Caenorhabditis elegans: one gene and its partners. The protein of the gene in region 3 interacts with the protein of the main gene of each other region in a pairwise test. Each region holds a gene or a part of one and is shown on either strand. Other genes may lie near its edges.

What was found.
Region 1: the proteins of edg-1 (region 3) and D2007.2 interact in a two-hybrid assay, tested with the Caenorhabditis elegans proteins (one large-scale study listed by BioGRID).
Region 2: the proteins of edg-1 (region 3) and deps-1 interact in a two-hybrid assay, tested with the Caenorhabditis elegans proteins (one large-scale study listed by BioGRID).

What each region holds. Positions count from the first base shown.
Region 1 is NC_003281.10:8,145,599-8,157,639, forward strand, and holds D2007.2 (Major sperm protein), read left to right. Parts: upstream 1-3,375; coding exon 3,376-3,507; intron 3,508-6,842; coding exon 6,843-6,984; intron 6,985-7,200; coding exon 7,201-7,264; intron 7,265-7,885; coding exon 7,886-8,013; intron 8,014-8,121; coding exon 8,122-8,219; intron 8,220-8,729; coding exon 8,730-8,912; downstream 8,913-12,041. Other genes in the region: mrpl-18 (Large ribosomal subunit protein uL18m), read left to right, coding at 108-257; D2007.1 (uncharacterized protein), read left to right, coding at 9,875-10,016, 10,065-10,174, 10,261-10,344; atg-13 (Autophagy-related protein 13 homolog), read right to left, coding at 10,478-10,552, 10,636-10,773, 10,818-10,975, 11,019-11,229, 11,282-11,441, 11,494-12,008.
Region 2 is NC_003279.8:502,180-511,088, reverse strand, and holds deps-1 (P-granule-associated protein deps-1), read right to left. Parts: upstream 4,617-8,909; 5' UTR 4,613-4,616; coding exon 4,502-4,612; intron 4,451-4,501; coding exon 4,344-4,450; intron 4,288-4,343; coding exon 4,073-4,287; intron 4,025-4,072; coding exon 3,864-4,024; intron 3,813-3,863; coding exon 3,681-3,812; intron 3,636-3,680; coding exon 3,384-3,635; intron 3,335-3,383; coding exon 3,194-3,334; intron 3,146-3,193; coding exon 3,041-3,145; intron 2,992-3,040; coding exon 2,758-2,991; intron 2,708-2,757; coding exon 2,598-2,707; intron 2,552-2,597; coding exon 2,332-2,551; intron 2,285-2,331; coding exon 2,213-2,284; 3' UTR 2,118-2,212; downstream 1-2,117. Other genes in the region: Y65B4BL.7 (uncharacterized protein), read left to right, coding at 85-94, 154-350, 1,201-1,341, 1,666-1,827, 1,875-2,117; Y65B4BL.4 (Dolichyl-phosphate-mannose--protein mannosyltransferase), read left to right, coding at 4,877-4,996, 5,040-5,269, 5,318-5,429, 5,484-5,583, 6,635-6,766, 6,811-6,864, 6,957-7,032, 7,877-8,027. UniProt on the Caenorhabditis elegans protein: Component of P-granules which is required for P-granule formation and integrity in adult germ cells. Promotes the accumulation of glh-1 mRNA and localization of pgl-1 to P-granules. Involved in RNA-mediated gene silencing (RNAi) in the germline.
Region 3 is NC_003282.8:11,316,849-11,326,378, reverse strand, and holds edg-1 (Protein edg-1), read right to left. Parts: upstream 5,580-9,530; 5' UTR 5,574-5,579; coding exon 5,490-5,573; intron 5,440-5,489; coding exon 5,327-5,439; intron 5,278-5,326; coding exon 5,007-5,277; intron 4,963-5,006; coding exon 3,697-4,962; intron 3,591-3,696; coding exon 3,407-3,590; intron 3,348-3,406; coding exon 3,126-3,347; intron 3,083-3,125; coding exon 3,039-3,082; 3' UTR 2,743-3,038; downstream 1-2,742. Other genes in the region: his-46 (Histone H4), read left to right, coding at 50-361; his-48 (putative histone H2B 4), read right to left, coding at 1,263-1,634; his-47 (Histone H2A), read left to right, coding at 1,940-2,323; B0035.18 (Mitochondrial cytochrome c oxidase subunit VIc/VIIs domain-containing protein), read right to left, coding at 5,736-5,859, 5,911-6,059; gspd-1 (Glucose-6-phosphate 1-dehydrogenase), read right to left, coding at 6,602-6,689, 6,743-6,919, 6,971-7,172, 7,225-7,362, 7,424-7,725, 7,784-8,036, 8,081-8,156, 8,573-8,779 and 1 more. UniProt on the Caenorhabditis elegans protein: Plays a role in regulating deps-1 cluster formation in the germline.

The DNA of each region.
Region 1 (12,041 bases), on a different chromosome or scaffold from region 3:
ATTACTCGAATTAATTTTCAAAAATCCGTAACTTTCTATGAAAAGATGTGTACCAGGAAGCAAAAATTATTTTTTGCTGTTTGCATTCAACAACAATTATTTTTCAGCAAACACACTTCTTCAAAGCTCTGGAAGAGGAAGGTCTCACACTAAAAGAACCGGCCCACGTGGAACATTCCTATGAGACAGACAAAACATTCACATGGAAGAGGTACCCACAGAAGCCAACACGTCAGGATAAACTCGACGAGCTATAATTATCCTGCACTTCTAAAAAACGTTTTTATTGTAGAAATAGTTTATGACCTTCAATTGTTTTGTTCTCTCCCTTGTTCTTGTTTCGTCTCTTTCAACTTTTATTAGAGTGAAAAAAAAAACTTTTCTCTGACTTTGAACAATTTAGAACTCTATTCACAATCACCCCCTTGAGCGTCGTAAGTACTAGAAGTTTTTTGCCTTTTTGTTTTAACTTCGAGATTTTTTAATCCCGCCTTCTCAAGCTTCGGACTGCAAACGGACATACATCAAACATTCTTCGATGCATCGTTTTGGTGAAATGACGAATGATGTGATGAAAGGAGGCCACCACCACCACCACCAATTCCCCGCACCCTCCTTGTAATATTCATGGGTGCTCGGCGAGCAGAGACGAAAATGGATGGACGAGATATCAGGGGATTCGATCTGACAACACCCCCGGTTTTCTCCCATTTGGGTTCTTTTGAGCACCTTTTTTTGAGTTTAGAAAATCTTTATTTTTAGAGTTTTTGAGCGTACTTTTTTAACTCCTTAGAGGCATTGAAACAAATGTAGTTCTGACTATCTGGTGTTGTATGTAGAGCTCCATGTTTTATGCATATGGATTTAAATTTCAGGACTTAAATTTTCGACGTCACCAAAATTGAAGTTGGTGACATTCCTGAAAAGCTCCGCCCATTTTTTCCAACATACTTCGCTTTTTTTTTGAAAATATAGAAGCGTTCAGAATTCGTAGAAAATATTGGAATACAAGGAATAATAAAAGTGAATTTTTTGTTTCGAGAGCAGCGTTCTTTTTTGAACTTTCTCAAATGTCCCGATGATTCATAGATAAATAACGTTTTTTATTTCATCTTTCACTCAAAATAAATGACACTTAAAGTTAAAAAAATTATACTTTTTTTTTTGAATTTTCTTGGTATTTGGATTTTTGCACTTTATATTTCTACTGCTTAAATGTTCCAAAAACGACCAAATATCGTTGTAAAACTCAAACAGATTTTTTATTTACACACAAATTTATTTACATTCAAAAAGTCGAATATCACAAGTTCACAATTTTGGAAGTTGACCAAATATATTTTTACATGAGTTTTCTATTTTAATTATGTTTTAACTGTTTGCATTTAAACATTTTAGGGTTAAAAGTTGCAATGCTTGAAATTTCTCAGAAAGTCTACTTTTTCAAAAAATTTAGTACTTTACCGAAAACTTTGTCTGAGCTTTTTTATCTAAAATTTTTACAATGTTCATTTATTATATTTGTACAACATCCCCTAGGATTAAGCTCCTTCAATTAAAAAAAAACCTATTAAAAATTAATTGAATTAATAAGTGAGCATACTAGCATAGATACCTTTTCAGATTATTCTACGATTTTTCAATTGTGAAGAATTTATTTATAGTTTGCTGTAAAATGTACCAAATAATAAATTAATATTTATATCTTGCGATTTCTCGTAAAAAGTCATAAATTTGCATGATATTGGAAACCTTTACTGACACAATGATTAATGTAAACTCTTTCGTATTTTTCTTTTGCAAACTTTCTTTCTTTCACCAAGTTTCCCAAATGGATAATCCAAAATTGTTTGTCCAAAAGTCAGAAAGCAAAACAAATTTGTTCAGAAATCTCATCCTTTCTCTCTAACTTGATTATTTTATTTCCCACTGACTTCTATACTAGTGTCCCGATTTACGATTTCTAAACTAACAATAGAATCGAGTAATATATAGTTTCCGATAGAGATTGAATTTTTTAATTAGCTTTGCCAATTCTCTATTGATAAAATTAATTTCTCATCAGAAATACCATCCTTTGGTTATATGAACTTTAAGTTGTTTCATTTTCAGCTTTAAAATTGATAAAACAGTCTGAAATTAATTTCAGATTTTGAAATTATCATCTTTCTGAAAAATCATACCAAAACAATTATATAGATTTCTTGCAAGTCAGAAATTTTCGAATATTGCATCTAGAATAAGTGAAAAATGTTTATAAACTAGTAAATTATAAAATTGAAATAAAAACTGTAAATGCCACATCTCAATACTCAAAAGCCTTTCTACTTTCAAATTCTGCTATACTCCATACCTATCTATCCCTTCCTACTCATTCCATTGACCATTTGACCACTACTTCAAGTCTTTCAAAATCTGATATCTCAGCTCGTTCTTCTCCAAATAACGGACTTCTTGACCACTTTGAAAATCTCAAATTCTCGAAATTTGCTCTCTTTCCCTTCACTGAATCTTCACAAAAAGCACGACTTTTCTCTCGTTTATTTCTCTCTTCTTCATTTGTATTTCTTCCTTGAATTCATGAATAATAACTAAACATGATATGAAATTTATTTTTATTCATTATATTCAATCATTCTTTGGACACAGTGTGAATTAACTTCCTTGTTTAATTATTGTTTTTCAATTTTTTCTTTAGTCTTGGAGACCTGAAAAGATTTAAATAAAACCCTTTTTAAATAAACTATAGTTTATTTTATAGGGACACTAGTCGCTCATAGAAAGTTTAATATTTTTGATTTTTTTTCGAAGGTTGTTTGAAACTTTGAATCTCCAAATAATTTCAAACTAAAAATATCGTTCAATAAGTTGCAATCCCTGATGCATGAAGCGTGCAATTATTTTATGAACCACCAAAGTTCGCATATCCGACACGTGTCTACACTTTATAATAATTTTGTTATTTTTCCGGGAATACCTTCAAATGTGTGTTCATGTTCAACTAAAAATATAAGTGAATTCATGTGAAAACTAGTTGACTTCCGCTGTACCAAAATAAATATAACCATAAAACATCACGATTTGTTTTTTAAGAAGGTATTAATGGTGTCTATTATGTATTAGATTCAAACTTTTGACAGTCATGTTCTAGATTGCTTAAAATTATTTTCGGTTTTGGTAGAATTGTTATGTATTTAAAAATTTGATGAAGTTGTTTTTTCAGTACCTTTGATAGTATACATCAGATAGTATACGATATAGTATACATCGATTTGTAGCAACTCTTTCATCTACATACATAATTACAATTGCCTCTTTTCTCTATCGTTGCACTTTGATCCAAAAAATCCCCATAAAAATTAATGTTCAGGATCAATGGCTGAACACGTGGCTCTTGAAGACATAACAAATTGTCCAATTCATAATATTGATGAAGATAATAATGTTTTTTCAACTACTACAACCCGTCCATCTCGTACCGAACATCGACTCAGAATGCTTGCAAAGGTAAGTCTTGGAGGTTGCAAAAATTAACCATTCCTCTACTTTTTATGAGTGGGCCAGGGATAAAATTTGTTTTTTATACAACTTTTCTAAGTTGCACAATAAATCAACCTGTAAGAAACTACTGCTATATCTGTTTTTTTTTCAAATAGTTTTTAAATGTGCCTATATACATACAATCTCCCTAGATTTCTGAATCCTTTTCCTTCACAAAAAAGAGGAAGGAAAAAGAAATGGAGTTGAAGGAACTCAATTCGATTAACAACGCCAATTATACACCAAAACTCTGTCTTTTAATATTTCTTACTGGAAATTGAAGTGGTTTATTAGATTTTTGAAATTCCGAATCCTGATTCTCATACTTAAAACCGTATTTTTCCCAAGTCTTCTACCCCATTGCTGTACTTTGACAGTTCATCCCTTGGTGGATCTTTGATTTGCCAAAAAAAATAAATAAATTGATTATATATAAGAACCGTCATTTGTAGATTTTTTTTATTAATTGACAGTCACTTCCAGCAGAAAGAGCCGACAAGTTCATGGACTTAACGTTAAGTTAACAAATGGCTGTGTTTTCTTTTTTACCGATCTGTAATTAAATAGAAAAAAGACACATTGATGTGATTGGAAAACAAAATCTTTTACTTCCAACTATTTTTTCAATGTTTTCCACCAGATTTCATTTTACATCCAAAATATTTATATCATTTAACTCAAAGCGATTTTGAACTCCTCTGCTCTAGCTTCTTTCATTTTGAAAAAATGTTATATCTATGAGTATCAGTGGTATAAAAATAAGAGAAGAAAGACGAGAAGCTCACTCTTTAGCTCATTGGCTTTCAAGTGATAAAGCTGGCCACAAACGATGTGAACCCTCTTTTTCATTTTTTCTTCCCATGGGAATCCGCCACATTCACGTGACATCAACCATTTCCTCATTTTACTTTAAAACTTTCTGGACTTGAAATTTAAAATTTAAAATTGAATCTAATTTGTTAACTTTTCACCATGTTTCCCCTGTCTGGTAACAGAAAAAGTAGACCTTTCAATGATAATTTGGAGTTTTTATATAATTTACTGAAGTTGTTATAACCAAAATCTAAAATTTTCTGACTCCAAAGTTCTCCAAGTCAAAAGACAGTTAGGACGTCAAAAGACTCCAAGTTTTTGAATTAATCTAATCCAAATCACATATTCTATAGCTGCACTTTATTCAATATATTTCCCGTTTGATAGCTTTAAATAAAATGTGCACTTTTGTAATTAAAATTGAATAAAATGAGTCATAACTTGTCTGATCTTTTCTTCTTCATTTTCTTTTCATTCCTCCTCCCACACTCGCATTTTAAATTCCCTTGTCACTGGGAGCGGGGGGCACCGCGAATTTTCAAAACTTTTTTGAAGGGACACTGGTTTTCATTTTTTGGGTTTCGGTTTTGAAAAAGTTGATCTTTGTTTTTTTTTGTAATTTTTTCCAGTTTGCAATTGTTCTGGTTTTGGAAAATTAGTTTTAGTTGCAAGTTTTGCAAAACTTCCGGATTGCTCCAAAGTTGCAAAAATAAGTTTTTACTGTTTCCATAGTTTCTAGACAGTTGAGAATCTGAAAATCAAGATTTCAAATTATAAACCGTGAATTTTATTCGTGGTACAACTTTTTGACCTTCGTATAGAAACAACTTCACAGCTTCGATCTTCATGAGTATTTCAAAAATGCAATTAAGACAACCTGAATATAATAAAAAGCATGAAAATATCTTCTAAACTTTCTATAAACTTCATGCCACCCCCACATTGGTTGACCCAACAATCCCGTCCACACACATCTACACATACATACACAACAATCTTCTATCCTTTGTGGTCGTGCCCTAGTCACCGCCGTCATTTTTCGAGCCGCTGAGCAATTATATTATGTCTATTATGAATGTACTGCTGCTCTTCTCTCGCTTTTTTCTACTCATTCGGACCTTTCTCTCTCTCTCAACTAGAAATGATGATGATGTTCGATGAGCACAAAACTTTCTTTTTTGGGCTCTTTTTGGAGCACTTTCGGTGACTCTCACAAAGGTGTAAACACTGGAAGACTTGAATTTTTTTAGTTTGAGAAAAAATTTGAAGATATTAAAAATTAAGATAGGTCTAATTAGACAAAATTTTTTGTTTCGGAATTTCTGACCAACTTACTTTTTTTGGCCAATAAAGAGATATATTCCTTATGCAGTTTCAAAAACTGATAACTTTAAAATAAGAACCGAGAAATCTAATACCCTAAATATACCTTTAATGAATTTTTAATTTTTGGAAATCATTTTTATTTTAAAAATAAACTTTAGGTATCAACTGTTAATTTATCAATTTACCGGGTATCTAAATAGTACAAATTCAATTCCTCTTATTGAAGTTTTCCGTTGTTTCAAAACTCATTTTCTGGTTCTTCATTTTTGAGAAATGCCATTATTTTTTTGCAAATGTCAAACATCTATTTTCATAAAGACCAAACCAATTTCATCTTACATTTTCGTACTTTAATTGTACCCTTCACCTCCCTCGCTCATTCTTTTTTCTTTGTTCGTTCCCAAAACGCCTTCATTTTTTTACCGACTGCTGCTGCTCCCAGCAATTTCCGGAGTGAACATTCGGAGCACTTTCTCTCCTTTTTTAATGTGCTGCTCCTTTTTCTTGTATAAGTGAGCTTGAAGTCTTCCGTTGCCATGAAATATTGTTCTAACACACTTTTTTTTTGGTTAAAACATGCTATAGCTTGAGTTTGAACATTGGAACCGAAAAATTTCACATCTTAAAAAAGTTACAGTGTCTCTTTTTCGTTTGAGCTCTATATCTCGGACAGCTTCATTTTTTGGAAGTGACATTGTTCTGTAGTACAAATTCGGATAATCACCGTACCTGATAATCTTGCTCCAGAGGCAAAACCATGGTAGATGGGAAAACTCTTTTGTCTTTAGACATTCCACTCGATTGGGGTTCTACAGGGCGCTTTTAAACTGTATGGAGACTTCACTAACCTTTATCTCTCTAAAATGTTCAGATATTCTTCACAAATTTTATTAAGAAGGGAAAATTAAGGAAATATGACAGGCTTTCTTATAAAAGTTGCATGTTGATTCTTGTAAGAATCGGTCAACGTTTAAAAATAGAGAAGTGTAAAAACTCCATTAAAACGCCATTCAACATATACATCTCCCATGGATACATCATTGACCTCTTCTTTCCGACCTCCCGTTTCAAAATGTGACGTTTCCATAGAAGTGTCATCTGCAGAACAACCCCAACCAACTCCTTTCAATCTTTTTCTTCTTCAATATTTCATTTTATTTCAGAACTTCAAAGACATCCGCTCATCATCAATGGCTTCTTCAAGTTCAGCTGCTCTTCGTCCTTTTGGGACGGCTCGATTGACACCTGGAAGACAAACTGGAAGACAGACACAACAACAGATTAGTGCTCCAGAACCAATGATAGGTAAGCATTTTTCGAGGCTTAATTTGATACAATTCACAAAGTGCCGGGCTCGCCCAGAATATAAAAAGCTGACTCAAATTTTCAACAAGCTTATCTCACCAAAAAGTCACTTTTCGAGGAGAACAACTTCAGAAAGTTTTCGAAAAGAGTTGCCTCGATTATTTCCCCACTGGTTCAACTCTACCTTTTACAATATTATTAATATTGGATTTTCAGCTATTGCTCTCTCGGATATGGAGTACCTAATGCGGTCGGCTAGATCAAGCAGAAGCTCAGGAAGGTAAGATTTCACACTTAATTTTTTTCAAGAGTTACTTCAAATCTTGAAATAAATGAAAAAACAAAACAGATTTTTTAAAGTTCTCACAATTGGATAATCTTCAAAATTTCTTCCTCAACGAATTCAAAAATGTAGACCACAAACATTAAATTCTCATCATAAAAACGTATTTTTTTCTCCAATTATATACTATTATTACCTTAGAATTTTTCAAACATCCAACATTTTCTCCGGAAAAGACCAGAGCTCGGCGAGCAATTTTCATGTTTTAAATTGTCGCTACAAACTGAATTGAGAGACGAGAGGCCTCTTATTCCGTTTTTATACGAAAAAAGGAAACTATTTCTTCTATTTTGTTCCTGAATTCTAAAAACAATTTCTGATGAATATCTATAATGTGAGACCAGCTTGTCGGATTCCAAGTTTTTCAGTTGACAGGCCACGTTCTGTACTTGACAGTTTTAGGTATGATTATCATTGTTTACTAAGAAACATAAGAAAAATACAACATGAAATGGAATAGTAGTTTAGCTTAGTTTTGAAAATAAACTGGAAAATACATGAAAAATAACATACAATACAATATGTAGAAAAACAGCAAAATAAATCTATAACTTTCAGATCAGAACGCCAGCCAGGATGCACATGCTGCTGCCACATTGCTGCTGGGGTTACTGTAATTCCACGTGTCGCCCGTTTTTCAATCGAAGGAGGACTCTCAACACACACCCTTATGAATCATTCTGATAGTGAGTTTTTTTGAGCTATGGTTTTGAGTAACTCGATTTAGGTTGTAATTTCAAATGAGCAAGCAAAAATTGGGAAAAAATGTCAAAAAACTAATACAAATATTTCAGATCGGATAGCAGTAAAAATCACATGCAGTGACAACAATATGTACAGAGTGACACCTGTATATGCAACTGTTGAGCCTGGACAAAGTCTTCCACTTCATGTAAGTTTTAACACAAAATTTCAATTTTTGAACATTTTTATTTCAATCCCGATTGAACTAAGGTTTTAGGTTTTCAGGTTTCAGGTTTTAGATTAAAAATTTCTAAACTTTTGGAAAATTAGAAGCTAGATAAATTAGCTTAAATTTAAAATATGGATATCGGAAATATAAAAGTATTTTCTATTGTTCTCTCTGTTATTGCATTTTTGTAGCTTCCTGAAACGTTTTTTTTTACATTTTTGAAGTCTGCTTCTCTTTTAGTCGCGCATGTCTGAAAAAAAAAACAAAAAATTCCAAAATCAGTGAAAATACCAAAGTACCAAAAGAAAGTCAAATTGCCAAAATATGCCAAAAGACCACCACCAAAAAAGTCCAGGTTGCGTGGAGTTTCTAGTCGAAAGTCATCGTTTCAGAAAATAGCAAAATTGAAATCTTCAAAGCCTGTTAAATACAAAAATAGAACACGTATACCATACCCACCCCACAACCCACTTGAACATTTGATTACAGATCGCCCGAATTACCAGTGACCTAATCAAACGTGATCGTCTCTGTGTCAATATTCTCGAAGCAGATGGCAATAAGGAAGCTCGCGAAATTTTCAAAAAGAACGCGAATACACGTGCACCAGCTTCAATCAATATGGCCCTTGAGGCAACAAATGACAATCAGAATCATCATCATCAGGAGTAAAGAAACACAAATATGTACATGCAGACAAACAAAACTACCAACTTTCATTCTTTTTATGCCTTTTTTCTTATTTTCTTTGATAAAAACATAATAAAACAATATGAAATGACATCACAAAAACTGCAAAATCACAAAAAAAATGTCAGAAAATCGCAATAAAACGAACGTTTTATTTGCTCAAATGATCAAAGATATTTTCTTGTTAAACTGCATCATGAATCACTTGCCATTTGAACAAAGGATTGTCACAAAATTAGTTTCCAAATTTTTTATGTCAATTCGTCATTTTTTGAAAATTGTGTTATCTTCGAAACTAGGCCAGAATACTTGATTATTTGAACATTTGTATTGATAAAAATCGATTAGTAAGTTGAATTTTTCAGTTCTTAACTGATTCTTTCCATGAAATTTCATTTTGTTTGAAAACTCTACAGAAACGGTTTTTTGAAATTACATAATTTAAAAAAAAACTACCAACCCCTGTTTCAAGTTGAAATTTTGCTCATTTTAAAGGTTCCTATCGTCAGGACCTGATCACAGGATCCTGTCACGAGCGAAACATTTCAGCTACAGTACCCTCAAGTATTGTAGCTATTTTCTTACATAGCTTATTTTTTGAGATTTGTATAATAAATACACGAGGGCACGGTAGAGAAAAAATTTCGATCGTGCCAGGACCCAAGGTAGCGATTTGCGGTCAAACAAAAAATTAATTTTAAGAGTAATCCCTACTTATTATAAGTTATATATCTCTCGCTAAGATGATTAATATTGAAACACTGGTCTCAACACGATTTGCCTGCGTTCTAGGGGAGCTTCTAATCCTCTATCACCTGACATTAATCACTTGCTCATTCTTCTCTCGTTCTCTGTTTCTCTTTCTTCTTCGTTGAAGTCTCTGTTGAATAATTGTCAAACCCATAACACATTTTATTTTTATATTCCAAAAAAATATTTTTAGAATGAAGATCTTATCGTTGATTCTTGTAATTTTGGTGCTTGTGGTGTCAACAGAATCCGCCGCTTCCAACAATATTTTCTCATCAATCTTTTCTTTTGGCAAGAAAAAACCAACAAGTACTCCAACACCTAGTTATTCAAAAGGTTTTTTTTTAGTTCTTTGTTCAAATGATCTTTGGATTTACATTCCAGCTTCCGCTTCCACGAGCCGGTGTGGAGTACAAGCATCACAATGTTCTGCTTATGAATGTTGTAACTTTGATCAGACATGTCTTCGAAACCGCTGCTTCCCAAGACTATCGGTAAACAAGTTCAAAGATAATTAAAAACTTATTGTATACGTTTTTCAAACTGCACAGAGAAACCCATAAACTTTCAAAAGTTTCAGAACTGTCCAGTTACTCGGGACCAATGTGGAAATGCATGTTGCAAGACTTCTGAGCAATGTCGCAATGGAAAGTGTTCCCGATAATTTATATAACTATACATTTATGAATATTCAAAAAACAATATGTGCACAAAAAATTGTGAAACGAGTGTAAACGTGTGAAAAGTGTACATGCGATGTATACAATATGGGAGATTGTAAATTTTCAATAAAAAAGTCACTCATCGGAGAACGAATTGACGTGTTTCAGGAAATTGTTGAAGTTGGCAGTTTGAGAACTTATTTTTTCGAGCTGAAATTTGATTGAAATTTGAATTTGTTAATTAGTTATAGTTTTTGGTTTAAATGCCATTAGCTATTTATTTCCAAACTCACCTCTGTTTTCAAGTCCATGTTACAAATATCAATATCACCGGATTCTGTCATATCGGGAGCAGTTTTCAGCTGCTTCAGATAGTCTCCCAGCTCATTACCAAGACTTGGCGCACCACCGAAATCTGATAGCTGATTAAACTGAAATGAAATAATTAACGACTCGTTGATTAACTAAGGCTTACATGAACAAATGAATCTTCACTCAGCTCCATTGAATCAAGTGGCAACTCTTCATCTTCATCTTCTTCAAATACAACTTCGTCGATTTTAGCGGCACGGAAGCTCTCAGCAACCTTTTCTATCGTTGGCTCTTTGTCTTCTGGAGTTGATTTTGGAGAATCTAGATTTAATAATAAATATTTGAATTATTTTTATATTCTTACTGAGACAAGTAGAAGAAGAGTTTTTCTTGGTTCCATTTGCTGGATTGTATGCCGACTGTAGTAGATTCACGAATGGGAATGAATGATTTCGTAGATCTGCTAGAGATGGTTTGTGATCTTCTTCATAAGAATTTTGAACATCTGAATGTCGAGAGTCTTCACTTGATGTTGATTGTCCAAGAATAAATCTAGGAGCAGCTTCTCGGGAGGTCTTAAATTTTTTAATTCGTTTGACTTTGCATAAAATTTTTTTGAAAACTTACAGAACTTCCAGCACTTGTAGCAGATTCAACACTTCCACTTGCTTTTCTTTTTTTAGCATCAGCAATTGGAACACATTCTGAGACAGTTCTTGTTTGAATATTTTCATCTACAACTGTCTTTTCCCCGTCATCAATTTCCTCTTCTACATCTTCAACAGGTCTGAAATTTAATAATTATTTAAAATCGGAAATTATTCTATTTAATCCCTTACGTTACTGGAGCAATCTCTGGTTCCTCGAAATGCATTGATGTTCGGTAATGTAGGTCAAGACTGATATTTCCAAATTTTGATACAAGTTCTCCAATTTTTCTAGTTTTCTTTCCTTTTCCCATATCAGATGAAATATCATTTTCAAAAACTCTATACATAATTACAAAAGTCTCCAAGTGCTGCTTTTTCACATACAATCGATGCATTGGAGTCATTCTGGCTGATACAATTGCTGATCGAAGCAATGTGCTCATATCATGATAAAGTTCATTTCTTGAACAATCATCAGTTCCTTCTGATGAGCTAAGAATCCACGCTTCAAGTGGTAATAGTTGTCCACTGGGTGTATAGAGTAGAAATTCGAGAGTAAGAGTTCCGACAGGTGGATAACTTTTGATGTTGGATTTAAGATAAGCTGAGATTTCACCGAGTTCGTCAATTCGCATATTGAACCAGTCGACTGCGTTTTCCGAGTACGGTACACATTTTGATTCAATTTCATCGCCGAGGCGAGACTGAAAATTTATGGAATATTAGGAAATTTTGAT
Region 2 (8,909 bases), on a different chromosome or scaffold from region 3:
GAATTTCCCCCTCCCATAAATAAAAAGTGAAAAAATTCCAATTCATTTTCTGTTTTGCAATTTACAAATTAAAATCCAAAAATTATGAGTTCTGGTAAGGTTTTTTTTTTGATTTGGTACAGTGACAAATTTTCAGAAAAAAACAAATTTTAGATCAAGGAAAAGTGTCAGTTGAGCCGCCACCGCCAGAACCAGCACCGATTGATGTGGTGCCGGATATTCCGGAGTTCGAGTATGAGCTGGTTGAAAATATGATGATGTCACCCGGTTCAAGTGTCGAATCGGTGAATTCAGTTGGAATTCCACGTTTCGAAGACGGGCGGCATCCGAATGTGAAGTTGTTCGTTGTGGTGAGAAACTGAGATTTGCTTCGAATCAAAAAAATATGCTGAAAATATCACGGATTTCTGGCTTCGCCCATATTTTGAAATGGAAGAGTTTTTGCCGCGAACTAGGCCAGGTTCGCGGCAAAAACTCTCCCAATTTTCTCGATTTTAGTTGTAAAACTAAATGTGATTTGTCCGTGTGGAGTACACGACTTTCCCAGGGCGATTATCAATGGAGCGCGAAAATTTTAATGAGGAACAAGGGTGTCAAGTCCCGTGTCCCGTTTGTCCCGTTGTCCCGTTTTTTGAGTGTTTTCACGGGAACGGGACGTCCCGCTGTCCCGTTTTCAAAATTATCACGGGAACGGGACAATTTCTCTCATGATTTTGTTGCACATTTTAAAGTTCTGTTTTTGAGTTTTGTTTCAAGACTTAAATTCATGCAGATTAATGACTTACATGCAGTTTTTTTTATAATTTGCCTCGAATACACTAAAATTTACGCCAACTATGCACTCTTTTTTTTAACCGCCCAGTTTGTCCCGTTTTTTGAGTGTTTTCAAAAAAACGGGACGTCCCGTTGTCCCGTTTTCGAAATTTTTACGGGACATTGACACCCTTGATGAGGAAAGCCAGAAAGAACCCCATGTCGAAAATACCACAAAAGAATTGCAAAAAAAACGAGATTTTTCAAATTTGGCTGAATTCCCTCCAAAATTAGAACTGCACGACCAATCAGCGCCCTCGGACTCCGCCCACTCAAATCGCTGATGGGTCCTGCAGTTCTCATTTTGGAGGGAATTCAAACAGGAAATTGTCGAATTTAAGTTTTTTTTTTTGGATTTTTTAAAAGCAAAATCCTCCATTTTTCAAGATTTTCGCGTTACTTGGCAACATATTCATGATCTACCAATCGATACGTGACATTCCGCGACAATATCGATCGATTATTTGTGATGCTTTCGGGTTCAGCGATTGTTTGGATAGTTTGGAAATGCAAATTCCCATAGTTGAGGTAAAAATATTATATATTATTATCCAGACTTGAAAATTTCAAATTTTTTTTGCTACAAAAATGCAGTGGCCGGGTCTCGACACGACAACCTTTTGTTAAGTTGAATGCGGAAAGAGTGTGTGCGCCTTTAAGGAGTACTGTAGTTTCAAACTTTTGTTTCTCGGGAAAACTGTAAAATCGATTGCAACAAAAGTTTGAAACTACAGTACTCCTTAAAGGCGCACACTCTATTGGCATTCAACTGACAACAAAAATTTGTCGTGGTGAGACCCGGCCAGTGCATTTTTTAGAGCAAAAATCGCCAAAATTTCGCATTTTTTGCAGTACTGTGACCTTTGCCTCCGTGTTTCCATGGAATTCATGTTCCCGGTGGGTGTGCTCATTGTGTTCTCGATCACACAGATTCTTATCACAGTATCTCCGGGAATGGCTTCTCGTATTCGGAATCCGATTCCATCACTGGCTTCGTTCATCTATATGTCATTTGTTTGTTTTTAACCTTCTGATACACCTAATCTTTTCTGAAATTTCAGTTTTTCAAGTGCATAACGAACTTGCTCACGTCTATCGCGATGCTACCCTATCTTGGATGTACCGATCAACCATCATTTTGGGGGGAGTATCTCGCTGCCGGCTTGTTGGGACTTTTCTGGATGTATTCGCTGCTTAACATGGGTGTATTCACTAGAATAACCTACCACAACTTCATTAGAGCACGAGAAAATTACGAGAGACAAGTTGTGCGGAATGGGATGGTGGTGGAACTTGAAGTTTAAATAAATAAATGTTTGGTTGGATAACGGGTAGATTAAAAATGAGCAGAACATTTGAAACACAAATACGGGGGAAAACGGGATGCGTATATATTTAATTAGACCCTGGAAGATGTTGAGCTTTGTGGAGTACCAGATGGAGTTCTGCGGCTTGAAGGGCCAACGAATCGCTGAAAAACTTGTTTTTATCATCTTCCAACCTTAAAAATAAACTTACGTTTGAGCTCACTGAAGTAGCTGCAGATGCTCTTGATTGAATTGATGATCTGGATCCAATGGAACTTCCAGCTGGCGTAGTTCTGGCCGATGTTGCTCTGCTCGAATTCGCGCTCATTGCAATCAACGGAGGACAGATGGCTGTCGAGCATACTTCCATGATGGTAGCAGCACGGCGACAATCATTGACAGTAATGGATTCACGGACCCATGCCAGGAACCTTAAAATTCAGTTACAATTATTTTTACAAATCCTGACACACTCACTTTCCTCTACATGGAGTCTCCAACTCTCTGAAATCCACAAATCCCATCGAATCACTCTCCGCCAACTGCTCATGATCGCAATTTGGCTTCAAGTACACTTGGAACAAGCGCTGAATATTTTCCTCATAGAATAAAAACTATTAAATAATTGAAGACTAACCGTATCACCAGAGACCGAGTAATTTTTACAAGTGAACGCTGGACATGGAGAACATTCGGTGATCATAATTTCACTGTCGACTCCAGCTTGTCGCTTTCCAACGAATTGAACTCCTCCGCCAATGGGGATTCCTTCCTTCAAGTTATTGGGGATTTTGAAGTAGACATTCGGATGTTTGGCACAAATGACAGTGTCTTCATTGATTCGAATTCCTTTGACTGGACCAACAACGAACTGAAAAATTCAGGGGTGAAAAGGACGAGTTTAATTTAACTTTAGAGACCTGAGTATCACGAAGCCAGTTTTCAAAAATGGACATTCCCGATGTACGAACAATGCGGTAACGGACAGATTTGTTTTCTGAAGTTCGAACAGCACGAACTTCGGCCTGAAAATTGAAAGCGTTTGTTTCAAAATAAGACCCACTCATGATTACCATAGCCTTCAAGAATTCATAACCAGCTGGATGAAACTCGAAGAATGAAAGAAGATGGTGTGGGTCATCAATCAATCCAAGAGTGCCCTCCTTGTCAACGAAGAGACCTCTGATACTGGCAGGAACGACGCGGGTAAGGAGCTGAAATAAAAATTATGTTCTGGACAAAAAAATCAATATTATAACTTACATTTCCGTTGACAGAGGTTACATGCTGTCTGAGAAGTGGAACTGGCTGAAGCTCATAGATCAGAAAACCGTTGTGCTGCATCGACCAAATAGCACTGAAATGAAAGTATTCTCCGACGGCTGGGTAGATCAAAGTCTTGTCCGTTCCTCGGGAAAATGGCTTCTGCAGTGGGATAATAAAGTCGAACTGCGAGAGTTCTTTGCAAATCAGTAGGCGTTCGCCGACATACAGGCCAAGCTGCATCTTGATGACCTGCAAAATCAAATTGTCAACGAGAATCCACAAAGCAACCTTAACCTCGGCCCATTTGTCTTCTGGCAAGTGCCAGCCTTCTCTCGGCTCGATATCAATTTCGTCGTCGCTATCAGCAGGCTTTGGATCCGGGCGCCAAACACCGAATTTAGAGTCAGGAGAGCCTGCGTTCCATGGCTGAAAGTTATTTGTTCAAAATCCCGTAAAAAATTTTTAAAAAGCAAATACCGCTTCACAGACGCGTGCTTGGTCGGATGGATCGCAACTGTCAAACGATTCGAATGTTGCAGTCATATTGAAAGGATCTAGACCACTCTTCATGGTAGTTTCGAATCGAATCCAGGCGTATAGCCAAACGTCTGGCTCCGCACGGGTCGCCTCTGTCTCTGCTGAAATAAATATATGGTTAGAGAGACGAAAATCAAGAAGAAACATACGCATGGTGACGGTGCATAATGGCGTCCAGAACGAGGTCGTTGAGGTGGGCTGGATGACGCCACCGACTTTCAAAATAAGTCCATTTCTGCTGGAAGACGCTTCATAAATTGGTTTTTCTCGTTTGATATGAAGGATTATCCTCTTATCGTGATCACAGTCCGATTCGTTCCATAGGATGACTTCACCGAACTTTAGCGGGATTTTGGATCGACGTCTAAAAATTCAAGTGTTAACAGATTAAAAATGGGCTCAAATCAAATAAATACTGACTCAAGATTTTTTGCCTCTTCGATATTATCGAAATTCCTCTCCAAGTTTGTTGGAACAAATGCGCACTTGGAGACACCGTACATGATGTTCTTCGGGGCCGCTTTTCCCTGAAAACGAGCTTATTATTTTAAATATGAAAACGGAGGGAATTCACGTACATGAGCTTGAATGAGATAAACGAGGTCCGTCTCCGAATCTTGGTTATCTTGTCCAGTGGAGGAAATGACGATACCTTGATAGTCAAAATATTTGGATTGGCGTTCTGACATTTTTGTCTGAAAATTGGATTTTTTGCAACAAAAAAATGATGAGCGAAACGAAAAAAAAGAAAAATCTGTAAAAAACGTAGGATTCGAAACAAATTTCCCACGAGAAATCAGATGCGCGGCGCAGTGGTCTCACCACGAAGAGCTACCGTACCTTAAAGGCACATTGGTGTTCAATGGCGGAAAAAAAAGTTTCGAATTTTTCCGTTTATTTTTCCATTAAAATTCTGTTTTAAAACTTATTTTTTCTGATTTTTCAGCGAAAAAATGGCAGATATTAGTATCCGCTCGACAAATTCCAATATATCTCGAGGAGCACGTCCGGAATCAGGCCGCCTGCACCGAAAATACCCGTATCGCTGGCTTTTCGATCAAGTTCATGTCAAAGTAATCGATTTTTTCCGTCTAAAAGCTAAATTTTAATTTTCAGAGCCTGATATTCCATGTGGAAGTGGGAATGCTCGCCATTGCCATCATCGGGCTCTACAGGGCCAGTCAAATGAGTGTCGACGAGCATTTCGAGCCGCCATCCGTTCCCGGCTTCGATGGACTTCAGTGGAACGGCGAAACGTTTCGAAACTTCAATGGAGTGCTGATCCGCCCGAATTATGTGCCGGCTCGGAATTTAATCAATATTTTCTCGTATTTTCTGATTTTTAGGTAGGGTTTCAGGGGATATTTTAGACTTTTTCCATCGATTTTCTTCAGCATCGCAACCGGATTCTTGGGAATGAGGCTCTCCGAGACGAGCATCACACGTCGAAACTTTCCCCGGAAAGTCAACCCGGCTCTTCTACTCATTCCATCCGCAATTTCTGTGGTATTTTGCTAAAAAAAATCGATATTTTCCCTTGAAAATCCTAAATATTTTCAGATTTCCATCTTGTACCCGCTCTCCGTGTGGACGCTGCGGACTCTTTACTCAATAATAAAGCTTTTAATCAAGGAGAATCTGAAATTTTCGATTTTGTTAGGTAGAATTTTTAATTTTTAATTTTTAAATGTGGACTACACCCTGTGGGGAAATTGCTTTAAAACACGCCTATGGTACCACAATGACCAAATATCACGTTAAAAAACTTCAAAAAAAATTTATAAATTTTATATGATTTTTTGAAAATTGAAAAAATCTGAAAAAGTTTTTGCCTAATTCCTATTTGAATTACCGCCAATTGAACTCGTTCGTTGGAGCGCGCTTGCATTATTTTTTTTATTAATTTATTCTATTTTTCTTCTATTTTTTCATTCCGTGATTATTTTCACTCGGGAATCGCTCGCCCACTATGGGGGAGTCTACGCAAGGACAACGCAAGGACAAGGACAACATTTTAATGGAATGGAAACGATTGCCCGACTGCACCAATTCTAGTTCAAGCGAACAATGATAACTTTTGTATTCTGTATTCCTTCACGTCTCCCAGCGAGCGTAATAAATTATTATTATTATTATTATTATTATTATTATTATTATGTCACTGATTTTCTTCATTAGTTGTGTATTTTTATCGGAAAGAGAAGTAAAAAAGCAAGATTAATGCAGAATGTTTGCTAAAAAGTGTTTAAAAATGTGAAAAATACGTAAAACTGTAAAATAATGAGTTCCGACGACAACAAACCTGAAACTAGCATATTTTTCAGTTTTACGCATTTTCAGTGATTTTTTAATCGGAAATTTGCATTTATTTTAACTTTTTCTCTAAAATTCAAGCAAAAATACACCGAAAACATTGAAAATCGGTGGAAAATAACAATAAATAAAATAAATAAATTTAAAAACGTGCAAGCGCGCTCCATCGAACAAATCCAATTGGCGGTAATTCAAATAGGAATTAGGCAAAAACTGAGATTTTTTCGATTTTCAAAAAATCATATAAAATCTAGAAAAATTTTTTGAATTTTTTAATCATGATATTTGGTCATTGTGGTACCATAGGCATGTTTGAAAGCCATTTCCCAACAAGGGTGTAGTCCACCTTTAAAGATTTTTAATTTTTAATCTGAAAAATCTTGATTTCTTCACTCCAGACGCCTGCCGATTGTCGTTTCTTCCCATCATCCTAGTGTGGGCAGTCTATATTTATTTTCTCTACGGATTCTGGCTAGGCGTGCTATATTACCAGCGACGAGGCGATCAGCCATCTCCGACTACCAATAATAGTGGGTTTTTCGAGGAATTTCAGGCCGAAAAATGAGAATTTTAGGCCCTTTTCGACGTCCAATCCGCAAGCAAACTGCTCTTCGATTCCAGGGAAAAGGTTAAAAAAAATTTTTTTTTTTGCTTTTTCGTATTTCTATATGCACTTTAATAGCGGAAATCATCAATTTAGCGTTTATTCCATTTTTTCAGCCAGCGTCAATTTGTTCTCGGATCTCACGGCTGTCACCAACGAGCTGGGCTCTCCCTCCTCACCATCGTCGAATTGGTAAATTATTCTGTGTTTTGGAGACGGAAATCATTGGAAAAAATATTATTTATCTGCAAAAATCCGAGATTTTCCTCAATTTCGCTATTTTTCAGGGTTGAAATCGCAAGAATTTCGGAAATTTGACTTGGAAATTCCCTAAAAACCTCTTTTTGCTACGTTTTTCGTGTAAAATTCACTGAAATTCTGTTTTTTTTAAGTTTTTTCTCTGAAAATCGTTAATTTTAGCCGAAAAATTATTGTTTAAACTCCGCAAAAAATCCGAGGTTCTCCTCAATTTCTATATATTTCGTGTAGAAATTGCGAAAATTCTGATTTTTCCTTAAAAAATTTCTGAATTTTTTCCATTTTTAGTATAAAATTCACTGGAAATCCAGTTTTTTGCCTTTTTCCCTTCTAAAACCGGTGTTTTCTCTTAAAAATCATTGACCAGATAAGATTTTTGCACAAATTAGGCATTTGCACGATTTTTCAGAAAATTTCCATTCGCAAAAAAAATTTTAAAAAATTTTTTAAACCTTTAAAACCGCTTATCCTCATTTTTCTGTAAAAAAATTGCAAAAAAATTGTTTTGATGTTTTAAACTTGAAAAAACCGTTTTTCGCCATTTTCTGCCCAAAAATAGCAAAAAAAAATTTTTTTTTTGATTTTTCAACCCTAAAAACAGCTTTTCCGCATTTTTCTGTCAAAAAAAATTGTAAATTTTTATTATTTTTTACCCAAAAAAACACCGTTTTCGCCATTTTCTGCCCAAAAATAGCAAAAAAAAATTTTTTTTCGATTTTTAAAAATTTATGCTCTCAAATTTCTCTCATTTCCTCCACCAATCCTTTCAATTTTTCAGCGTAATATCCACTGCAACCACCTCAATTCCCTCCACCAGCACCAGCAGCACCACCACTCCAAAACACAATCGATCAGTATCGCCACGTGGATTCCGTCATCTGGAGACCGTGGACGAGGAAGCGCAAAGCCGTACATCATCAAGTGATTAATATAATATAATAGAAAAGGCAATTAAAACCGATTACCAGATTCCGCAAATCTTCATCATCATCATAATTTTACAAAATTGTTTTCTAATAAACTTCACATTTCTCTCTCTATTCTCTCCATGTATATCGGCGGTCTATCGTCACTTTTATCGGTAAATGTACTTTTATTTTCTTTTTTTTTTTCGTGAATTTCGCAAAAAAAGCAGCATCGCACAGAAAAAGAGGCGGAGCGTAAATTCGCAACCCTGCGGCACGGTTTTTTGTTGATTTTTTGAATTTGCAAAAATCGCAAGTAATATCAAAAACCGTTCCGCGGTGTTGCGAAACTACGGTCCGCCTTTTTTCTGTGCGGCGCGGTTTCTAATCCCCGCCAGGCTGTCCCATTATGGTTTGATCTACAAAAAATGCGGGAATTTTTTGTCCAAAAATGTGTGGCGCCATGCGAAATCAGTTGAGACCTCTGCGTCTCTTCTCCCGCATTTTTTGTAGATCTACGTAGATCAAGCCGAAATGAGAGACACTGACACCACGTGTGCTTTTTGATTCGTGAATTTCGCAAAAAATCAGCATCGCACAGAAAAAGAGGCGGAGTTTGCAACCCTGCGGCACGGTCGGTTTATTGTTGATTTTTTGAATTTGCAAAAATCGCAAGTAATATCAAGACTATTGAAAAAGATCAACAAAAAACCGTGCCGCGGTGTTGCGAAATAACACTCCGCCTTTTTTCTGTGCGGCGCGGGTTTTAATCCCCGCACGTGGTGCCAGGCTGTCCTATTATGGTTTGATCTACAAAAAATGCGGGAATTTTTTTTTAATGTGACGTCAGCAAACTCTGCATCTCTTCTCCCGCATTTTTTGTAGATCAAACCGAAATGGGACTCT
Region 3 (9,530 bases):
TGTGATGTCATTTCTTCATCTCACTTGTGAGTCTTCAACGAATTCAACAATGTCCGGACGTGGAAAGGGAGGAAAAGGCCTTGGAAAAGGTGGTGCCAAGCGCCATCGCAAAGTTCTCCGTGATAACATCCAAGGTATCACCAAGCCAGCCATTCGCCGTCTCGCCAGAAGAGGAGGAGTCAAGAGAATCTCCGGATTGATCTACGAGGAAACCCGTGGAGTCTTGAAGGTGTTCCTTGAGAACGTCATCCGTGATGCTGTCACCTACTGCGAGCACGCCAAGAGAAAGACCGTCACCGCCATGGACGTCGTCTACGCTCTGAAGCGCCAAGGAAGAACTCTGTACGGATTCGGAGGATAATTATTATCTTTTCTGTTTTCATACAAACCAAATACCGAACCCAACGGCCCTCTTTAGGGCCACAAATATCCAAAATCCTAATTGATCTCGTTAAATAAATCTTAAATAATTTTGATTTTTCTATTTTAGCATTTTCAAATACAAGTTGACATGATATTTTCTTTATTGCTTTGCACAACTACATACTTTTTTTAAATTTAAAATTAGAATTGCATGCAAGTAGACATTCGGTATTCGATTTTCTTCGTTCGTTCTCAATTTTATTTACAAAAGGGTATATGAAAGTCTGCACAGTTTTGTTTCCCGAACCATATGAATTCACTTTATAATTCAAGTTGGTGATCGAAATGATTTAGATATCCAAGAACATGAAGCGGAAGAAAGCTTGAAGCCTGAAAACCAGTGCCTGAATCATATATCTCGCCTGATATCGGAAATCAAGTAATTATTTCATAGCGTTTTTTCAAACTTCTTGTAATTTGATGTAGTAATAGTTTTTCATAACATTTTTCAACCAATTTTGTGAGATGACCCGAGATTTTTCCAACAAGATTGAAAACCGAAAGTTTTTATAAGCCTCGGCCATTAGCTTCCCTTTCTCTGTGCAACTTCATAAACTACGGAAATACAAGTTTTTGGAAATATTCGAAGAATCCCATCTACAATTTGAAAGATAGAATTCCGAAGATGCTTTGAATTTCTCTCTCTGAAAGAATGACTTTTAGAAAATGAATACTGGGTTAATCTCAAATTAACTGAACTTGGAAAATGCAAAACCTGAAAATTATGAAAGAGTATAATTGAAAATTATTTATTCACTTGGTTAATAACATAGGATTATAAGATTTGTGGCCCTAAAGAGGGCCGTTGGGTTCGGTGGGGTAGTTTTCAGCCTAATGGCTTACTTGCTGGAAGTGTACTTGGTGACGGCCTTGGTTCCCTCAGACACGGCGTGCTTGGCAAGTTCTCCTGGGAGAATCAAACGGACAGCGGTTTGAATTTCGCGGGATGAGATCGTTGAGCGTTTGTTGTAATGAGCAAGACGGGAAGCTTCCGAAGCGATGCGTTCGAATACATCATTGACGAAGGAGTTCATGATAGACATGGCCTTGGAGGAGACTCCGGTGTCTGGGTGAACTTGCTTGAGAACACGGTAGATGTAGACGGAGTACGATTCCTTGCGGGCATGACGTCTCTTCTTTCCGTCCTTTGGCTTGGCAACGACGGTCTTGGCGGCCTTCTTGGCTCCCTTGGCAGATGGCTTTGGTGGCATGATGAGAATGAACTTGAATCAAGTATGAGGAAATGGTTGGAGAGACACCTATTTATGTAAAAACTGCGGTGGAGGGGCGGAGCTTCCCGCGGGGACACATTACTGAGTGCACACAAAATTCCGAATGTACCGAGGTTAATAGGGGGACAAAGAGAAGTGAGAGAAATGTGTCCTACCAGAGAGTGCGGAATGTTCAAATAGAGGTGTCCCCGCATGAAACTCCGCCCCTCCACCGTAGAAATGAATATAAACAGACAGTTTCGATTCATTCTTCAGATTCGTCTTACGAACACCAATCGCTCATCATGTCTGGACGTGGAAAGGGAGGCAAAGCCAAGACCGGAGGAAAGGCCAAGTCACGCTCATCAAGAGCTGGACTTCAATTCCCAGTCGGTCGTCTTCACCGTATTCTTCGCAAAGGAAACTATGCTCAACGTGTTGGAGCCGGAGCCCCAGTCTACTTGGCCGCTGTTCTTGAATATCTCGCTGCTGAGGTTCTCGAGTTGGCCGGTAACGCTGCCCGTGACAACAAGAAGACCCGTATCGCCCCAAGACATCTTCAACTCGCTGTCCGCAACGACGAGGAGCTCAACAAGCTTTTGGCCGGAGTGACCATCGCCCAAGGAGGAGTTCTTCCAAACATCCAAGCCGTTCTTCTCCCAAAGAAGACTGGAGGAGATAAGGAGTAAGAACTTTCTTCTTTAAACAAACCCACCGAACCCAACGGCCTCTTTAGGGCCACAAATATACAAAATCCTACTTTTTCCCATTAATAAATTTTTTAATAAAGTTCATATTACATTTATTTTTAATAAGTTGTTTGCTTGAATGCAATATTGTTATAAAGTTTTCTACCTTCCATGTTCTGTCAGAAAACGTATGAGGAAATTCTAGAATTACGATAATTACAATTTTTCAATCCCATTTTAATAAATTTTGTATTGCATTTATAAGCGGTCTGCTTGAAATTCGAGCCCTGAATGCAATATTGTTATTAAGTTTTCACCTATATTTGACGATCGGTCAGAAAACTAAGGAAAACCATGAGCTAAGCCCTGCATACCACCCCATCCCCCACTATATCACAATGCCATAATAAACAAAGAAATTCGCGTCCTACCGATTTTATAAAAATGAGCGGTCTCATGGGATAATTAAGGGGTTAAAATGTTCACGGTGAGGTAGAATAAATCGGGAAAAATTATAAAAAATTCAGAGGGAAAACAATTAATCCCGAAGTCTTTGAAATGGGTAGAAGTTCCATCACGAAGACTTGGTGGGCTCAAAATCAGTGTCAGGTAAAAACCTGCATAAAGCATTTTACAACAAAAAACAAGAACGAAAAATTAACAACAAAGTAACAAAAGGAACACAAGGAACATTATAAGAAAGTTTCAGAGACGATCAGTCTGCATAACGAGAGAAATTCGAAGAGTTGCCATATGCGCCTGCAATAATTATAATTGAAAAAATCAGCATTAAAATCCATACTTGATGTTGTTGGCTTCACGCTAGATTCAGCGAAAAATGAACTATTGCAAGGGGACGCTGGGCGTGTCCAATGCTCCATATTTTTCTCGTTTTCCGCCCACAAATCGCGATGAAGTTGAGCCATTTCCAAAGATTTGGTTGTTGCAAGTTGCTGGCGTAGTAGGCGTTCATGTCGTGCAGAGTCACGAGATTCCTTGATACCAGGAGCAACGTAACGGTACTCTGCAAGAAATCAGAATTATTAATGAAATAATAATTACTTTTGAATTATATTTTCTTACCAGCTGGTGGCCAGCTTTCCAACGTTGCTTCGACTGGGATAACCAGAGGCTGAATGATTTCCGATTTCTTTATATCATGACTCCATCTTGGCCCAGTCTTTTCATATTCTTCTGTTGGAATGAGCTCTATGATCGATGAAGCGATACGGTCGTGGTCCGATTCCGACGAGGTTGAGCCGAAAACCTGTAAAGTTAGAAAATCAGAAAAGACACGACGAAAAAGCATTCCATTCATTTTCAGTGTATTTTTCAAATTAAAATCTTTCCTAGTGACAATGACAAAACATTACCTCCAAAATCTTCCCAGAGATCTCTTTGATACGCTGTGGACCAGCGTTTGCGATCTCGAAATTCTCCTCAAACGCCGTCTTCATTACTTTTTCCAGTTGTTCTGAGGATTCGAACGTGACTGAACTGTGACGCATGAGTTCGTCGGCGCACGAGATGTCGAACACTCCCATTGTGATGATACAATCGAGGTATTCCGTGAGAACTTCAATTGTTGGATCTTCAAAAACTGAGATGTTTTGATCAGTTTCGGGTGGAATTTCCTCGAATATCACTGCGACAAAAGCGGGCTTACAGCTTTTCACTGCCTCTACAGAAGCCTTGGGCTTTGGGCTCAGATGCAGTTGATTCATCTCCAGATTATCAACAGCGGTGTCCGATTTATGGTCAATAGATATCGCAGTTTTCACTGAAGATTCAGATGATAGAGTCGAACAACGTTCTTCGTCTTCTTCATTGATCGATTGATCAACAGTTTCGCTTTCCTCGATATCGAAAGTTCTTTCGTCGAATGTCTCCTTCATTTCTGCATTGATTGCTTTGTAGACTGCTGATGGAATGCGTCGCTTCTCAACTTCCAGAGCCTTGAACCACGTTGAGATTGCGAATTCTAAGGTCCACGGAAATTCTTTCAAAACCTTAGAAGTTAAGTAGCTCTTCGCTTCAGCATCGAACGGTTGCTCCATGTTTTGACCAATCGCCTTGAGAATCATTTTACAGTTTTCAATGACTGTATTCGATACGTTCTCGTCAACAATAATGTTGAGCAAGAAACAAATAATCGAAGGAGTCAAAAGAACATTCTCAGCTGGTTTAGTTCTCGCCGACGTGGCATACTTCAAATTATCGAAGTTTTCAACAATTTTCACAGCAATTTCGCTCAAAACTTCCACTGATATCATGGGAGTTCTGTTCTGAGTGTAGAGTTCGCAAAGCACCACTTCCAGAAGTGGCCATGCAGACATCAACGAGGGTTCCTGTCCTGAGCATATCACCCTTGCGAGTTGTTCCAAATTGCTCCACTCTTCGTCACTTGTATCCACCCAGCGCTTATTGAAAATCAATCTGCGGAAAACCAGAGCCATGAGTGATTCAACGCGATCGGTTTCGTATTCAGTGTGATATATTTTCAGCGGACGATCGAAGAACAATTGTGGCACTTTTAGGCACACATTTAAACAAAATCCAGTGATTTCGAAGTTCTTGAGGCATCGAGTGAAAATGTCCAGAAGAGTGGTGACTGGTGAGAAGAGCAGGTGCCAGCGCAACTGAAATATCAATATGAACTTTGTTTCAAAATTATAAATCCAACCTCTTCCTGAACATCGTCGTCGACCTCTTCAGGATTTTTGACAATTTCATCCAATAATCTCGCAATTTTCTCCCTGAATCGGGGAACGAGTGTTTCGAAATATGGCGTATAATCAATTTCGTGATATTGCCATTCCTTAACGAATTGCTCCTGGAAAAACTGCTTGCTCGGCTCCGTGAGCATACTGTACAGTTTACGCATGAGCAGGATGTAGTCTTTGCTCAGTCCGACGTCCTTTTGAGTTACACCTGCTTGGAAATACTGCATCGCACTGAAAATTTGTATAAATGAGGTTATTAAAGGTGACATTGTTCACATACTCCATTGACAGGTTAGAGGTGTAAAAGTCATAGACGAGGAAATCGGATCTTCTGTCCAAAAACTGCTGAACTCTGACCTTGTTCACATCGTACTTCTTGTAGCTGTAGAAAATCTGAAATAAAAAATAAAATATATTTATAAGCTAAACAATTGGAAACTCACATCCTCCAGCTCCTGCACCCATTCTTTGTTCATATCAAGAGTTTTTTGATCAGGCAGTTCGTACGAACTCTTATTCTCGACCATTTTTATCTATAAAGGGAGGTTTTTCGTGGATAGAAAATTTTAGATAAAAATATATGAATGTGGTACAAACCACAAAGTACTGATCAAGAATAAAACAAATAACTGAATAAAGAAATGATAGACTTTATTGACTTGTATTATTATGAATAATTTATCAAACATTTAGTGCTCGGCAACAACTTTCCCTTTCTCTTCGTACAATTTCGCCAATTCCTTTGGACAAGTATGCATGTACCCCTTGTTAGCAGAACAAATCTCTTTCATTCGAGTGTACGAATCGTAGTTTCTGCAAGTTTGCTCGTTGCCCGGGAGACACTTGTGCGAGGATCACACTGACGCGAAAAACTCTTCATATTTGTTGTGACGTGGCCAAACGTAAAATGCGTTGAATGCGGCAGTCGAGACGACAGCGACAGCAAGTGAAACGTAAATTCCACGTTTTCCATATGATTGGAGCATGTTCCGGGTAGCGGAAGCAGCAACCATGGCTGAAAAAAAGAATGAGTAATACGATGTGCAGCTAGCAAGAAAAAGACGTAAAACAAGAAAGACGTTTTTTTTTAAATCAAAGATATTGATACTTTAAAACATTTGTGCAAAAATGATGGGAAATCCGATGGAAAATGATAGAAATCCGAAGAAAATATGATTGAACTTGAACAAGAATTGAACAATATGATGATGCGCGACGCAACACGCGTCGCACGTCCACTACTGTAGAAGTAGAGTGTATGCAGAGTGTTTGCGGACTGGCGCACCGTAACCGGCTTGTCGAAAAAATGATTATTTTTTGAATACAGATTATTTAAAATAAGCCTTTTTACTGGCTTATCTTATCGTTCTACACTTCTTTTAACTGAAAACGTATTTATTTTCATTCATTCAATAGAACATTAACAAATGAAAAAAGAGCAGGAATAATATTGATGTGGAACACAGGAAAACATATGAACTAGTAGCTGCTGAATTTTTGAAGTTATTTCTACAAACATTTGAAAGAGAATGAATAGAGGAAGATCTGGTATCATTTATAGCTTTGGAGCAACCCATTTGTATGTTCCAGTGAAGATGAAACCGTACTTTTTCATCAATTCGTCACCTTCAGTTGGACCACGACTGAAAAATTGGATTACTGTATTTAATTTTAAAAAAAAAGAAACACAACCAACCTTCCAAATTTATATTGAACCGGTTGAACTTTCTTCTTTTTAAGCTCTTCGAGAACTGGCGTCAAAATACGCCAAGCGTATTCAAGCTCATCAGTTCGAACGAAATTAATTTGAGATCCCATGAATACTTCGAGAAATAGGCGTTCATAAGCATCAGGAAGACGGACTTCTTTGAATCTGAAATTATCACAATGAAATTTTTTTTGAAGAGAAATTTCAAAAACTAACCTATTATTATAAGTCAAATCAAGTTCAGTTTCTTCAACACCGAATCCCATTCCAGGTTTCTTGGTCATCAGTTTCATGTAAACTGCCTCATTTGGTTGCACTCTCATCACTAATTCGGATCGCTTTAATTCACCAGACGGATAGATATCTCCACTGACTTCTTTGAATTGTATACGAACTTCTGCTTTCTTCTCGTTGAGAGCTGCAATAATATTGAAATTTAAAAATTCGGTTTTTTTTTGTATATTCCCTACCTTTTCCACAACGCAAGAAGAATGGAACACCCTCCCAACGTTCATTATTGATGTGAACAACAGCAAGAGCATACGTTGGAGTAGTCGAATCGGCTGGAACTGATTTGTCATCTTTGTATCCTTGTGATGCTTCTGGGTCTAAAATTAATGTATTTAAAAATCAAAACTTTTATAAAATTGTAATTTTTGAAAAACTCACGATCAAATTCAGGACTGGCAATGTATTGTCCAACTACTACATCCTTTAATTCTACAACTTTAGCAGCTTTCAACACTTTGACCTTTTCATCACGAATATCTTCAGCATTCAAACTTGCTGGTTTCTCCATGGCGACTAAAGTTAGAATTTGCATCAAATGATTCTGCATAACATCACGGATAATTCCAGCTGTATCAAAATATCCAGCACGGCCACCAGTTCCAAAATCTTCTTTAAATGAGATCATAACTGATGCAATGTGATCGCGGTTCCAAGATGGAGCGAGAATTCGGTTTCCAAATCTGAAAGTTCAAAATAAAATTATAAATCTCTTCAAATACTTTGAAAAAACATTCTTACCGCATAACCATCAAATTCTGAACCATTTCTTTTCCGAGATAATGATCAATACGGTAGATTTGATCTTCTTTAAAAAGTTTCGCCAAATGAGTTGAAAGTTCACAAGATGATTTCAAATCATGTCCAAATGGTTTTTCTATGATAACACGTGTCCATGAATCACCATGATCCATACAATTCTTCTTTAATTCCGTAGAAACCACGTTGAAAACTGATGGAGGAAGAGCGAGGTAGTAGAGACGATTGACGGCTTCTATAAATTTGCTTAGATTGAGTGAAATTTAATTCTAAACCTACGATTATTGCTTTCTTTTTGGAAATCATCAATTGAAGATTGAAGGCGTTGGAATCCTTCAGAAGTGTCGTATTGGCCCTGAAAAAATGTCAATGGTGCTTTTTATGTTCAAAGTTTCTAGAAAAAAGCTTCGATTCAAATTTTTATTACCCAGTAACAAGATTTTGTGCGAAAAATACGGTAACCGGTCTCGACCCCACAATTTTTGTTGAATGCAAAAAAGTGCGCGCCTTTAAAGAGTACTGTAGTTTCAAGTTTTTGTTGGTTTTCGTAGTTTTCCTACCTGATTTGTAAAAAAAATGTATGTGTTGCAATTATTTTTTTTCAGTTTTAAAACAATTTTTTTAAAATCTGAAATCGACAAAAGCTTGAAGCTACAGTACTGTTTAAAGGTGATACGTTTTCGCATTTAACACAAATTTGTGGTGTCGAGACCGAGCACTGTATTTTTGGAACAAAGTTTCACGCCTATTTATTAGCAGATGTAGATTTACCTGAACGTATGAGCACTTCTTGATGAAGTCATCAAAAGCACATTTCTCATTTTCTCGAACTTTACAGTTTTTCTCAAAAGATTCACGAAGCTTGAAAACTGTCAGATCGGAACGGGCATATCCAATAAATTTGATGTTGACTGGCAAAAGGTTGTCACGGAACAACCACCACAGTGTTGGGTATATTTTCTTTTTTGCGAGATCTCCCTGAAAAAATGTTAAATAATTAATAATCGATATATATGGAATAGATGTCATACCGATGCTCCAAATATCACGAAAACGTACGGAGTCTCAAATTTGAGATCTCTTTGCATTGATTCACGAAGACACTCGACGAGATCCTTCGAAATGGGATCGGACACTGAATGACGTTTGCATGCCATTTCTGTAAATTTATAAACTAGATTTTGAAGTGAGAATGACGAACATTGATTCACAAAAATTACTCGTGTTGAGAGGTAAATAGTAGAAACTACAAGTTTCAAAGTAAACCATCTAGATACACATAAATGTTATTTAAAAGTGAGATTATTGTTTCATTTATACAACGAAAAATCAAAAAGAAATACGTTAATTGATATATTGATGTACTTCATAATGATTCTGCGCAATTCTTTTTTACTGGCAGAGTAATAAACTGCTTACTTTCAGCTAGTTACATTTAATGGAATAATGTTAATTTCTAGCACTAAAAAATGTAATTTTTCCTTTCGAATCATATACCTAGTAGCGAACCGCAGTCTACAATATAAATGAATTGGAACAACTGGAACAACACTATAAATCGGTCACTTTTTACTCCACTTCCATTTTTTTCACAGGGCAGCGAGAGAAGAAAGAAACAGTAAGAGAAAAGTGGATGCGCCAGTCTCTTTACAAACATGAAAATATTTACTGAAATCTTCTCGGGTCACAAAAAATGATGACTGAATGAAATTGTGTAGTGTGTGCGAGT